Linked DNA regions of Stegostoma tigrinum. The protein of the gene in region 1 purifies or fractionates together with the protein of each later gene. This does not show direct contact. Links are inferred from orthologs where the notes say so. Each region holds a gene or a part of one and is shown on either strand. Other genes may lie near its edges.

What was found.
Region 2: the proteins of sdhaf1 (region 1) and sdhb purify together in Homo sapiens (co-immunoprecipitation; 3 studies listed by BioGRID and IntAct, with this or other methods). This does not show direct contact. The link is inferred for Stegostoma tigrinum from reciprocal best matches to the Homo sapiens genes SDHAF1 and SDHB.

The regions. Positions count from the first base shown.
Region 1 is NC_081392.1:9,598,506-9,606,001, forward strand, and holds the start of sdhaf1 (succinate dehydrogenase assembly factor 1, mitochondrial), read left to right. Parts: upstream 1-4,489; 5' UTR 4,490-4,574; intron 4,575-7,496.
Region 2 is NC_081381.1:32,415,419-32,422,727, forward strand, and holds the start of sdhb (succinate dehydrogenase [ubiquinone] iron-sulfur subunit, mitochondrial), read right to left. Parts: upstream 3,008-7,309; 5' UTR 2,984-3,007; coding exon 2,891-2,983; intron 1,863-2,890; coding exon 1,717-1,862; intron 847-1,716; coding exon 761-846; intron 1-760. UniProt on the Homo sapiens protein: Iron-sulfur protein (IP) subunit of the succinate dehydrogenase complex (mitochondrial respiratory chain complex II), responsible for transferring electrons from succinate to ubiquinone (coenzyme Q).

The DNA.
Region 1 (7,496 bases):
AAAACACCAATGTGTGTTTTGTGATAAGATGTAAAAGATAGTGGTGAAATAAAGCATCCTTACCTCGTGGAAGCTACGCATTGTATTCTGATCACTTCTTGAGTTAGCCATTGTTATGCATTTTATAACTGACTTTTGACAGCAAAACATGTATGAGAGCCTTCCTCTAAATAGTTGTTTTTATTAACAATATTTTATTAATGATAAAACCTAATTCTAATTAACAGTGGTTGGGAAGGTGACTGTGGTGTTCCTACTTGACAGATTAATGTGCAAAGAATCACTGACCAAAGTAGTAAATGGTCAGAATAAAGGTAGAGCGCATGGAGACTTGAGAGTAAAAACCATCAGTTCATTCAGAATCCATGTTGCCATAGCCACTTGAACATTTGTATGCATATTGTAGTCTGGATCCGCAGTCATGATAGATGTTCCAGCATTCTTTCTGTCACATGGTGTGTGTTACAGGTTGTTGCTGAGAGGAACATACTGGATTAACTGAAGTGCACACGAGCCAAACTCTGCTGGGGGAGCAAGGCAGTGGTCAGCAGTGACTTCAAAGGAGCAGGCAGGCAAAGACATCTTTTGCACTGGGGATGGAACATAACAGTGTGATGAAGGTTCTGTGTTGGGAAGAGTATAGTGGTCAAGGCTGACAGGTGTCACAGGGAAGGGGGGATAGTGAGGTTGACAGTGAATACAATACTGGGAGGAATGAAGGGAAAATGAATGGGAAGATGTAATTCAGCCCCTCAAATCTCATCCATTCGATTAGAATATGCCTAACCTAGGCCTCTGTTCCATTTACTTTTTTTTGTTACTGTTTATATATATTAATCAGCCTATTTTGAAAATTAGTTAGAGCATTCATAGGCTTTAGACAGTGGGAGAGGAATTGAGGTTTAGTTTTCCAGCAGTCCTTAAGTAGAAAGACTGAAAGAACTGCAGATGCTGTAAATCAGGAACAGAAACAAAGTTGCTGGAAAAGCTCAGCAGGTCTGGCAGCATCTGCGAAGGGGAAAAAAAAAAGTTAACATTTTGGGTCGGGTGACCAGCTCTGAGGAAGTGTCATCGGACCAGAAACATTAACTTTTTTTTCCCCAACCTCACTGATGCTGCCAGACCTGCTGACCTTGATAACAAAGTGTGGGGCTGGATGAACAGCTGACCTTTTCCAGCAACTTTTTTGTTTTTTTTCCCTTAGGTAGAAAGAGTCTTTCCTGACTTCATTTCTAGCCTTGCTTTCATTGTAAGATTGCACTCCCTTTTTTTCCATTTCTTGCTATCTATCTTATTTCCTAATCTATTTCAAATATGTCTGCCTTAGTCATCTCTCAACTTTCTGATCTCCAGGAATACAAACCAAATTTATGCAATAAGTCCTCATAATTTAACCCCCATAAATTCCTTCATTTTGCTGTATCTGTTTAAAATTCTGTATAAACCTTTTTCTCAGCTGAACTTGGTATGCCCAATGATGAACTCCTGAGCAAGACTGTGTAACAATTGAAGCATAACTTTCTCATCTTTCTGTTCCTTTCCTTACCTTAGGTGTTTTGGGATAACATTCCATTAGATGTTGATTGACTTTTGACTTTTTTAAAAAAAGAGTAGCTTCTAATGATTTTTGTGTAGTAAACCCCACAAATCCTGCAGAGACGTCCTGGAGCTGAGATAACTGACCCATTTTTGTGTGCCAGGCATGACTCCAACCAGCAGAGTTTGCCCCCTAATAACTATTGTTTCCAGTTTTGCTCAGGCTCCTTTTTAATGCAGCCTTGATGTCAAGGGCTGCCACACTTGCCTCACCTGACGACAGGTTTGGAATATCCTGTCAACAGGTGGTTTGATAGCATAATGAAAGGTTGAGGTGTAAATACCACCTCATGTCATGTCTTTAATGTTAGGCAATTCCTCAGTATCAAAGTTGATTTACTTCCACTTTCATTCAGTGGTCCTGAGATTAAGTGCAAGGCACAGTCTGAAGACTACTGTAGGAGGGACAGGTTATGCTTGGAGGGTCTCAGGTGAGTAGTTTGGAGGTTTGTGCACTGTCTGATGCCATGACGCAACTTGAGCAGCACATCTTGAGAAAGAAACAAGAGTTTCCCATTGAATTTTCAGCAGGCCATGGACCTAAAAATGTTGATTCTATTTCTTTCCATCCTTGAATAGGCTAAATGGCAAAACATTGGAAGAGCCAGAGTAATAAAGATTTAAGAGAATTAAATGTTTTCTATGTATTTATACATATCAAGTAGAAGACAACCTGATGAAGTCGGAAGAAGAAATGAACTCTCTGCTTTGTTTTAAAAAGAAGTATAGAGTATAAAAATGAAGGGTTGTGCTAACTTTAGACAAAGCAGTTGTTTATGTTAGGAGCACAAAAGCTGATGTTTTGGGCCTAGATCCTTCTTCAGAAAAGGGAGAGGGTGAGATGGTTCTGAAATAAATAGGGAGAGGCGGGAGGCAGATCGAAGATGGATAGGTGGAGAGGAGACAGACAAGTTAAGGAGGTAGGGAGGGGACAGGTCAAAGGGTGGGATGAGGTTAGTAGGTAGGGGATGGGGATAGGTGAGAGGAAGAACAGGTTAGGGAGGTGGGGATGAGCTGGACTGGTTTTGGGATGCAGTGGGGCTGAGGGGGAGATTTTGAAACTTGTGAAATCCACATTGATACCATTGGGCTGCAGGGTTCCCAAGCAGAATGAGTTGCTATTCCTGCAATCTGTGGGTGGCATCATTGTGGCACTGCAGAAGGCCTAGGATGGACATATCATCTAAGGAATGGGAGGGGGAGTTGAAATGGTTCGGGACTGGGAGGTGCAGTTGTTTATTGCGAACCGAGCAGAGGTGTTCTGCAAAGCGGTCCCAAAGCCTCTGCTTGGTTTCCCCAATGTAGAGGAAGCCACACCGGGTACAATGGATACAGTATACCACATTGACTGATGTGCAGGTGAACCTCTGCTTAATATGGAAAGTCGTCTTTGGTACACTTGCCCCCATACCTCGTCCCTCACCCCCATCCCAGGCTCCATCTTTCTTTCCCACCCCCACGCACCCCCCCCCCCCACCAAAACTTGTCTGTCTCCTTTCCGCCTATCTTCTCTTTCCATCTTCAATCTGCTTCTCCCTATTTATTTCAGCTCTGCATTTCATCCACTTCCACATTTTGTAATTGCAGATGCTCCAGCATCTGCAGTTCCCATTATCTCTGATACTATATTACAACTAATTTTATGTTCCTTTTGGGACTAGTGTTAGAAGCATAGGGAAGGTGAGAACTTCATTAGAAGTAGGAGCAAAATTACTGCAGATGCTGGAATGTGTACCAGAAACACAAAAAGCTGGAGTTCACAGCAGGTCAGGCAGCATCCATGGAGAAAGCAAGCTAATGTTTGGAGTCTAGATGACACTTCATCAGCACCCAAAGCAAGTCTATTGTTGAAATACTAGACGTCCATAAGTATGCAGCTGATAATTGGCTGCAATGGAAATAAAATGTCATGGCAAATGTGTAGAGTTTAGTGATACGTTCTGTGAATTCTACGGTGGGATGGGTCAAATTGTGAATGACTAAGATTCATCTCCAGGCTTTAAAATCACAAAATTTACTAAGGTTTGTAAGTTTGTTAGCAGTTTGTTGTGGACGGACAGCATATGTTACTGTTCTAACACATATGATTTTGGGCACTGACAGCATGTATACAAGACAAAACACTGTCTTTCCCCATCATCTAGCCTCTTGGTAAATTGGTTATCGTGGTACATGAAAGTGTATTAACGTGCCCTGCTAAACATTTCTGGGGACATGATAGCTACTGGTCATGTCACTGGGGAAACTACTGCCCACTCAGTGTCACTGCCAAAAAGCCTCCACCTCATAGTGTGTTTCGTGTACAGAATGGGGTGTTCAGATAGATGGGGAAGTTGCTCCAAACCAGTCCATAGTCTTTGCAATACTAAAGACAAGAGTGATGTTTGGGACCTGTGATATACTGTCCTAAAATACTTTAATCCGGTGATTCTCCACAGCTCATTTTGATGCCTGATATTGGTTATCTACTAGGTCATTCATCATAGACCCACTTTCCCAATCCTTTTCAATTTAATTTTGAAAATGTGATTAAGTCCAGCCTCCTTACACTCTAACACTGATGTATGTATCCCACCCATACGACATTCCTGGTCGAGTTTTTGCCAATGCCAGACATTACGAATTCCATGAGGAACCTCCAATTCCGAGTTCCGATTCTATTTTTAAAACTAAATTTTCGTACGAAATTTGCTCCTCATGGAGAGCAGCAGTACAGAATGGGTTGTTACAGGTAACTCACACGGTTACAAAGCAGCGCAACGGCGCTACGTGGCGAGCGGTCGGGCTGAGGCGAGGGTTGGCGCTGCGCTGGGAGGACCGAACTCAGGCAGTGGAGATGGGCGGCGCTGCAGTGGGAGGACCACAGTCGGGTGGCGTGGCTCTAGGAGGACCAGTGCCTTGTGGCGCTGTGCTGGGAGGACCCAGGGTCAAGCAGTGGCGACGGGTGGCGCTAGGTTGGCATGAGCCGGCGTTTCCAGGTGAGTGTTAGGTGGGATATTGGAGTTATTTTTGTGGATGTAAAGAGGGGATGGAGCTTTATGGGTTACGTAAGAGACTAATCGGACACTGGTGCTCCCTTTCTGAGGAACGAAAGGCTACCGGTGCTCCAGATACATGAGGGAGGCCAAGGGAAAGCAAAATCCAGCGGGAGGCTGGAAAAACTGAACTCCAACAGAAAACGCTGGAAATATTTAGTCACTCTGGAAGCAGTTTCAGTCCGGCTCCTTTTTAAACAGAAAAACCAGAGAGCTGCACTTTTCCCGATGAGAGACTCCGAACGGGCCGTTTCAGAAATTCGGGAGCCACACTTGCATTCTGACAGGGGCCTGTTAGAGTTGGCCTGACAATGGTTTGGGAAGTATGGAGGGTGGAATGGTCAGTGACTGTGGGGGTAGGACACTGGAGGAGGGGGTGTGGGGAGAGGACAGTGTGGGGTGGACAGTGGGAGTGGGGTGAGGACAGTGTGGGGTGGACAGTGGGAGTGGGGTGAGGACAGTGGGGGGTAGGCAGTGGGAGTGGGGTGGACAGCAGGTGTGGGGTGAGGACAGTGTGTGGTGGACAGTGGGTGTGGGGTGAGGACAGTGTGTGGTGGACAGTGGGTGTGGGGTGAGGACAGTGTGGGGTGGGCAGTGGGTGTGGGGTGGGCAGTGGGAGTGGGGTGAGGACAGTGTGGGTGGACAGTGGGAGTGGGGTGAGGACAGTGTGGGGTGGGCAGTGGGTGTGGGGGTAGGACGGAGTGGGGGTGGGCAGGGAGTGGGGTTAGGACGGAGTGGGGTGAGGACAGTGTGGGTGGGCAGTGGGAGTGGGGTGAGGACGGTGTGGGGTGGGCAGTGGGTGTGGGCTGAGGACGGTGTGGGGTGGGTGTGGGGTGAGGACGGTGGGGTGGGGGTGGGCAGTGGGTGTGGGGGTAGGATGGAGTGGGGGTGGGCAGTGGGTGTGGGGGTAGGATGGAGTGGGGGTGGGGTGGGGTGAGGACTGTGGGGTGGACAGTGGGTGTGGGGTGAGGACGGCGCGGGGGGTGGACAGTGGGTGTGGGGGTGGGACGGCGCGGGGGTGGATAGTGGGTGTGGGGGTGGACAGTGGAGGAGGGACTGTGGTGGACAGTGGGTGTGGTGGTAGGATAGTGTGGGATGGACAGTGGAGGAGGAGCTGTGAGTGTAGGACAGTGGAGGAGGGGCTGTGGGGTGGACAGTCTGGGGGAGGGAGGGTTGTGTGGGTAGGCAAACCACGCTCCCTTTCCCAGAGTAGTATTCTCAAGTTTTTTTTAAAAAAAAGGTCCTGCATCACAGGTACTCACCTTGCCGACTGCTATGTGAGCTTAGTGTGAAGTTAGTGTGCCATGAGGGTAGGTTAAGATCATAAGAAATGGGAACAGGAGTGAGCCATTTGCCCAGAGCCTACTTCACCATTCAATAAAACCACAGTTGATCGGACATTCCTGATGTCCATTTCCTGCCCTTTCCCTGTAACCCTGAATTCCCCAACTGATGAAGAATTTATCTCTCTGTCTTCAATTCCAGATGAGTGGATTGTTTAGATCAGGGTGAGTGGGTGGAATATTGGGTTCAGCAGTGCACAGTTGAGAAGGAAAGTGTAGTCAGGCCCAGGTAGGGGCAAAAGAATATGGAGTGGGGAAGGGGCTCGGGTCTGGGAAGCAGGAGTTTCGTAGGTTTGGGGTCAGGGGCTCAGGGAGATGGAGTGCTGATTTTTTTTTGGGGTCTTGTGGAGGTATGGTTTACCCAGTCATCATTCCTTAGGCCAGCTTTTAACTCCAGATTTATTAATGGAAATTAAATTCAATCACTGCTGTGGTGGGATTTGAATCTATATACACTAAGCATTAGTCTGGGCCTCTGGATTGTGAGCGTACTAAAACAAAAATTGCTGGAGGTCTGGTAGGAATTGTGGAGAGGAAACAAAATCAAGTGAACCTTCTTCAGAAACATCTAGATTACTAGTCTAATGACATTGCCACTGTACCACCATCTTCCCTCAATCCAGAAATTCACCAAAGATCCTTAGGCAGTACCTTACAAATCCACAATCACTTCAGTCTAGAACAACAAGGGCAGCAGATACATGGGAACACCACCAACTGCAGGTTCCCCTCGAAGCCACTAACCATCCTGACTTGGAAATAGATCAAAATTCCTTCAGTATTGCTGGGTCAGAATCCTGGAATTCTGCCCCTAATGGCATTGTGGATCAAAATCCTAGAATTCCCTTCCTAATGGCATTGTGGGTCAACCTACAGCAGGTGGACTGCAGCTCATCACCACCTTCTCAAGGCCAACTAGGGATGGGCAGTGAATGCTGGCCCACCGGCAATGCCCAAAACCCACAAGGAAATATGTTTTTAAAAAGGTTTTAGAGTAGATTTGTAGCTCAGGTTGTGGTTGGTTGGCTCGCCAAGCTGGTTCGTTGTCCTGCATAAGTTTCTTTAGCCTGCTGGGTAACATCATTAGTGCAGCTTCTGTTAAAGTGCTGTTGTTTTCCCACCTGTAATTTAAACTCTGGTGTCTGTTGAGCTGGATTACCTCACTTCTGGCTTTCCTTCGCAGTGAAGTTTATACCCTGTACGGAGATATTTAAAAATTAAAATACACAAAAATCTGAGAAGCCTTCACACGTTAGATGCTGAAAGCATGTATTGCTCGTATGAGAGATTAGAAGTGGAAGCATGATTTTAAAAATAAGGAGCCTGCCATTTAAACTAAAATGAGGAAAAATTTTTTGGTGACTCATGAATCTGACGAATCCTCTTCCGCAGAGAGTGGAGAGGGTAGGGTCATGGAACGTTTTTCAGGCAGAAGTTGGTAGATTCTTGTCTAATGTGAGAGTCTAAGGGTGTCAGGGAGTGGCAGGAATAGTGTTGAGGTCACGATCAAATCAACCATGAT
Region 2 (7,309 bases), on another chromosome or scaffold:
GCTGTTGCCAAATTTAGAAGATCCTCCACAATCCTAGCATTTCCCACTTCCAAGCATTTGAAAAGTATTACCATCCTTTCCCAAAATGTTGCTGCCTTAGTTTCTCTGATCTGTGACCCTTCATTTTTTTAAATTACATGGACATCATTAAATTCGCTTGACAATAAGCTAGGTCTGATTTTGACTGTGTCATAATCCTTGCACATAATAGATTACAATTTTTCAAAATTTTGCTTTATAAAATGATTGTCATAGATTCTCAGTGACATACAAACTCCAAAGATGGTCATGTCCGTCTGTCACAGAGCCAGCAGTTGTGATCCCACAGCACTGGCTAACAATGAAGAAACGACAAAATAAATTCTTGGTTGCAGACTCATTGGACATTTGAGCCTTGTGGATGCAGGCATAGGCAGTGACAGTAAAAGCCAGTCATAAATACCAATTCATGCTTGGATACTTTCAAGAAGAAACTACAACCTTCAAAGGAACATTGAAACAGCTGGTGACACCACAGTGGCATTGCAAATGTCTGAGATTTACTGGTCAGTGATAAAAAGGTTTTCTGTCACTCTCCACATCTAGGCACATAATTATAGTGATGGCTAGTTTAAAAATGGGACAAACATCTGGATATATACACTCTTACCTCACTTAATGCCTGACTAATGTTCACAGATGCGAGACTGTAATGATTCATCAGAAATGCAGACATTGATCTGTCACTGTCACTATATCACTCATATACAATACCACTCACCTTCCCTGCAAGATCTTCGGAATGTCAGTGTGGAGTCCACTTCATTCTTGATCTTGATAAGAGCGTCTAGTACCATCGGACCACATCTACATATGTAGTGTCACAACAGTTTGAAATATCAGTTTCAATTCTCTCAAATGCAGATTGTATTTGTATATTATCTTTAGTATAGTTACAAGTCCCAAAGCACTTCACAGCAGCTTAAACAGACTAACACAAAGTCTGAATCAAAGAAGATATTAGGATTCTGATCAATTCTTCAAACAGCCAAGTTTTAAGTCCATCTTAAATAAAGGAGCAAGAGTTGGATTGTCAACAATGTTGCAGGAGGGAAATTTGAAAGTTTACATCGTAAAAGGCCAGAAACACAAGAGTTGTTTGGTGAAGTAAGTAGAAGATGCCAGAGATAGACAGGTGTAGGACTGAGAAAGTTTCACACACTGAATACATTTCCAGAAAACATCTGTTCAATCTTTGCTGTAATGAGACTTTTAGGTGAATACAGAAGTAAAACAGAAGGACTATAAGGAAGACAGCTACTCCTTTGTTGCTGGAAGAGGGGAAAGTTCCCAGATTACAAATAATCAGGAAATGAACATAGACTGTAATATTAGACCCATTTCTCAAAGTGTTGCCAATGGCACGGGGGAGCCAGAGTGTTTCGAGATCTTAGTAGTTTTTGCTCTGGTCATTCATCTTACTCCCAAGTTTAACTACACTTGGGAGAGTGTGCTTATGGACTACCGAGGTGTGGGCCTGACAGGTCAGCAGGTCTTTTCCAATTTCATCACTGCACTTCACCATTTTACCTCTGCTTGAAAACAATCAATCAAAATCCTTCTATCCGAAGTAGTACTATAATAAAGAGGGCATACTGCAGTAAAATTTAAATCAGTAAAAGTCTGACCAGTGCGATCAAATGCATACCCTGTAGCATTTCCCCTTGGAACACTTACGCATTTAGATCAATCTCATAGGTTTGCATTCGAGGCTTGTCACCAGGCTTATCTGGATTCCACCTGTAAATCGCAAACTTTTTAAGGCGAGACACTGCTTGTGCTGCAGGAGCAGTAGCTGCCGCTGCCTGTGAGCTGCGAGATGACTGCAAGGGAACAGAAAGCCAATGATCAATCCATGAATCGTATTCCAAACGATACACAATCAAATTTCCCTTGTACACCAAGTCAAAGTTCACAATGGAAAAAATGTATCCAAAAAGATTCGTCTAGATGGGTAACAGAGATATGACAAGTCGCTAATATCACAGGAACAAGGACTACAAAAAATACTCTAATTAATTAGATGGGGAGATTTTGTGATCATTTGTGTATCAGACTAGCTACATTTTTATAAAAGAATAACGAATTTTATTGAGAGATAGTAAGAACTGCCAAAGCTGGAGCAACATAGCAGGCCAGGCAGCATCAGAGGAGCAGGAAAGCTGATGTTTGGGTTAGGACCCTTCTTCAGAAAATCATTTTAAATGAATTTTATTGAAGTTGCTTTTTAAACACAATTATATGGGTAGCATTCACTCAAAGGAATGGTTTAACCAATAGGTTACAATAACTAGATAGCCCCAAGATCATAAAAGTCAAGTAATCTGCAAGGCTTTACGTTTCCCGCTCAGCCCAAGGAGCCAGTCAAGGACAGAGACACAGGCATTGTCAGTAAAGCATTGTTTTTGGTTTGAGAAATTTATGAAATATAAATAGCAGTAGGCTGCTGGGTCTCTGTGCCAGCTTCAGTAAGATCATGGCCGATCTATCTCTGCTCCACCTTCCAGCACCATCCATCCAAGTCCCAGAATACCAAAAAAATGGATCAAACTGTCTTGAATACCTCAGTGATTGGACATCTGCAGTAGAGAGTTAAAAAGAATAATAATGCCAAGAGTGGATAATTTCTCCTTTATCTCAATCCTAAATGGCTAATTCCTTACTCTGAGACTATCACTCCTGGTTCTGGCCACCTCACAAAGGGAACTATCCTCCCAGCATATACACCATCAAGTCCCTTTTGTGTTACATTTATATAACTCTCACCCTTCTAAACATTAGGCCACAGAGGTCTATTACTTAATTACTCCTTAGGACAATTCCCTCATGTAAGAAATTTCAGTGTACTCACTCTCAGGCAAGTATATTCTTCCTTAGGTATGATCAGAACTGTACACAGTAGAAGGTGTGATCGGATGGAGATTTGGCTGCTTTTGAGGTTCATCCTAACCAGCTCCACAATGAAAGACCCAGTGCTCCACAGACTGTTCTCTGGAATGTACACCAAGAACATCAATAGCACTTGGAGGATCACTGACTCGGTGAAAGAAGCTCTTTAGTCTGCCCGAAATGCATTGGTCTTCCAATTCAAAAAAATTGTCCTCTGCAATTTGGCTCATTCCAAAGTCCAGAGCTACGTCCTAAGGGAGGCATTAAAGCTTGGGGCAGCAGCTGGCAATGCCCAAGAGGAGCAGTCATTACCGGAGACCTTTCATTCATGTTGCAATAAGGGGCTGGATATATAGAACTCCTTCAGCTGTGTGATTGACAACAAACATGAGAAGCCTGGGAACTACATAGCTGTAAGTCTGACATCGGTAAATGTTGGAGGGGATCCTGAGAAATCGCATTTACATGTGTTTGGAGAGGCAAGGACTGACTAGGGATAGTCAGCGTAGCTTTGTGCTTGGGAAATTGTGTCTCACAAATTTGATTAAGGTTTTTGTGGGCATAACCAAAAAGATTGATCACAACAGTGCAGTGGATGTTGTCTATGTGAACTTTACTAACTAGGTTTTGCAGAGTAGACCGATTAGTAAAGTTGGAACACTTGGGATTCAAGGACAGCTTGACAACTAGATAGAAAATTTGCTTGATATTAGGAGAGAGGGGGTGGTGGAGGAGGGCTTTTTTTTTTGCACTGGAGGCCTGTGACTAGCGGTGTTTCACAGGACTCAGTGCTGGGTTTACTGTTGTCTGTCATTAGTATGAATGATTTGGGATGAGAATTTGAGGCAGAGTTAGAAAGTTTGCAGATAACACCAAAATTGGATGGGATAGTCAACAGTGAAGAAGGTTTTCTAAGATTACAAAAGGGATTTTGATCCATTGCACCAAAAGAGTTGAGCAGTGGAGGTGGGTTTTAATTTGCATAAATACAAGGTTTTGCATTTTGGTAAAACGAAGAAGGGCTGGACTTATACAGTTAATGGTAGGGTCCTGGGTAGTGTTGTTGAACAAAAACCTAGGGGTTCAGGTAGATAATTCTGAGTTGCATCACAGGTAGTTAAGACGGCGTTTCGCATGCTTGCCTTCCTTGCTCAGACCACTGGGTACAGGGATGTCATGTGTTTTGTACAAGATGTTGGTGAGGCCACTTGAGTACTGTGTACAGTTCTGGTCACCCTGCTATAAGAAGGGTATTATTAAATTGGAGAGGGTGCAGAAAATATTTACCAGGATGATGCTGGGTCTGGAGGATTTGAGTTATAAAGGACAGACTGAATATGTTATGCCATTTTTCACTGGAGCGTAGAGATTAGGGGTAACATGATAGAAGTTTATAAAATCACGATGGGCATAGACAAGGTGAATAGCAAAAGTTTTTTTTCGTAGGGTGAGGGAATTTGAAACTAGGAAACATATTTTCAAGGAGAGAGGAGGAAGATTTAAAAGGGACCTGAGGGGCAACTTTTTCCACACAGACAGTGGTTTGCATCTGGAGTAAACTGCCACAGGAAGTGGAAGATGCAGGTAGAGTAACAACATTTAAAAGACAGCGAGTTTTGAGAAGATTCGCAGCTCAGGTTGAGGTTCTGGATGTGAGTTTGCTCGCTGAGCTGGAAGGTTTGTTTTCAGACGTTTCATCACCATTCTAGGTAACATCATCAGTGAGCCTCCGACGAAGCGCTGGTGTTATGTCCCGCTTTCTATTTATCTGGTTAATCCCAAGGAAGATTCTATTTATCCCAAGGAAACCTAACCAGATAAACAGAAAGCGGGACATAACACCAGCGCTTCATTGGAGGCTCACTGATGATGTTACCTAGAATGGTGATGAAACGTCTGAAAACGAACCTTCCAGCCCAGCGAGCAAACTCACATCCATTTAAAAGACATTTGGACAGGTGCACAAATTGGGAAGGTTAAGAGGGATATGGTCAAATACAGGCAAGTGGGGCTAGTTTAGTTTGGGTAAATTGGTCAGCATGCATGAGTTGGACTAATGGGTCCGATTCCGTTAACAGAAAACGTGGGTACAAATTTGATGGTGGCCGTCTCATTCAATGACCGATGAGGAAAGTTTCGGGGGGCTTTAAATTGGTGGTACAATAACAGATTACTGGAGGAACTCAGCAAGTCCAACAGCATTATGCGAAGAGAAAGAGGAGTGTTAACAGTTTGAATCCTGTGACTGTTCTTCAGGACAGGGTGGGGTGGGAAGAATTAGGCAATTCATGCTGTGCATATCCAGCTGCTTAAAATCATATTCTAGCTCAATAATTCAATGAGCTTGCCACTTTCAAAGAGGAATTCAAGATTCTTATATTTTGTCATGAAATTTGTGATAACGTTTAGCAGATCCACGATAAGGCAACAAGAGAAGACTGTCACTCTAAACCATGCATGTAGTACTTTCCAGCAACAACTAGAGTTGGCTCTGCTGGCAAATTGCATAGTTAGGGCTATTAATAAGGTTTTAAATAGTGGGGGGGATGGGTTCAGTTGGATGGAAAATTATGGAAAGAGTTAAAAGTTGGAAGGCGGGAGGGGGTCTCAGCAGAGGTTATTACAGTTTCCAAAATGTGCATCAGGACGGTGTATGGAAAGAGTCAGGAATCTTAATTTTGGGCACAGCAGGTGAGGGGACAACTATGAGAGGGAGGCAGTCAACTCAGGACTGAGGGTGCCAACTTAAATGCACACAGCATACAAAATAATCTAAATGAACTCAAGAGTGCAATCAAAATTGGCAGGACATTGTTGTGGGTATCACAGGGATGCAAGGTAGTCAGGGCTGGGAACTAAATATCCAAAGGTACATGGCACTATCGAAAGGGCAGGCAGATGGGGCGAGGTTGCCTTGTTAGTAACAAATAAAATCAAAATCAATAGCAAGAAGCGTCATAGATCTGGGTAGTAGAGTGAGGAAATACAAAAGGAACGCCCCACTCTCACCCCAGCTGAAAGGAGTCACGTACAGGGCTGCTAGCAGTCAGGATGTGGGGAAGAAAATAAATCAGAAGATGGAAAAGACATGTAAGAAAAACTGTATTATAATAATCACAGGGAACTTGTGTGCAGGTGGACTGGAAAAAAAAATCAGATTGGTGGCAGATCTCAAGAAAAGGAATTCCAGGAACGTCTATGAGATTTTTTTTGGAGCAACTTGTGGTACAGCCTACTATGGAGCAGGCAATTCTGGATTTGGTTATGTGTAATGAGGCAAACTTGATTTAGGAGCTAAAGGTAAGGAACTCCTGGGGAGGTAGTGACCATTATATGATAGAATTCACCCTGCAGTTTGAGGAGGAGAAGCTGGAATCAGACATAATTGTATTACAATTGAGTATAGATAACTATAGAGATGAGGGAGGAGCTGGCTGGAGTTGATTGGAAGGGCAGTCGAGTAGGGTAGACAGCAGAGCAGCAAGGGCAGGAGTTTCTGGTAGTAATTTGGGAGACATAGCAAAAATTCATCCCAAGGAAGAAAAGGACTAAGGGGAGGACAAGGCAACTATGGCTGACAAGAGACATCAGGGACAGATTAAAAGCAAAACAAAAAGTACACAATTAGATGAACATGATTGGGGGGACTTTTAAAAACCAGCAGAGCCAACTGTAAAAGCAATATGGGGGTGGCAGGAAGGAGGCAAGAGAAGATGAAATATGAGAGTAAGATTACAAGAATTTGTTTTAGAAATCTAAACTGTAAGAGACAAGAGTGGAAAGTGGAGACCTGGCAAATGAGGCCAGAGAAGTGGTAATGGGGAACAAAGAAATGGTGGAGGAAGTGAACAGATACTTTGCATCAGTTTTGATCAGGGAAGAAACCAGTGGCATACCAAAACTTCAAGAGTCAGTACCCAAGTGAGTTTAGTAGTCACCACCAAGGAGAAAATACTGAGGAAGCTGCAAGGTTGATAAATCATCTGGACCAGATAGACTACACCCCAGAGATCTGAAGGAGATTGCAGTGGCATTTGTGGTGATCATTCAGGAATCACTGCAGCCAGGGAGACTCTCAAAGTACTGGAAAATGGTTAATGTAATTCCTATGTTTAAGAAAGGAAGCAAACAACAGGAAAGCATTGGCAGTTAGCCTGATCTCAGCCACTGAGAAGATCTGAGAATCCAGTACAAAAGATGATATTGCTGATGATAAGATTCCTGACTTGGAAATGCATGTAAAATTGGGCTAAGTCAGTACAACTTTGACAAGGGGAGGTCATGCCTGACAAATCTGTTAGAATTCTTTGAGAAGTAAGGAGCAGTTAGACAAAGGACAGCCTTTGGATATGATCTATTTGGATTGCCAGCAAGCTTTTGA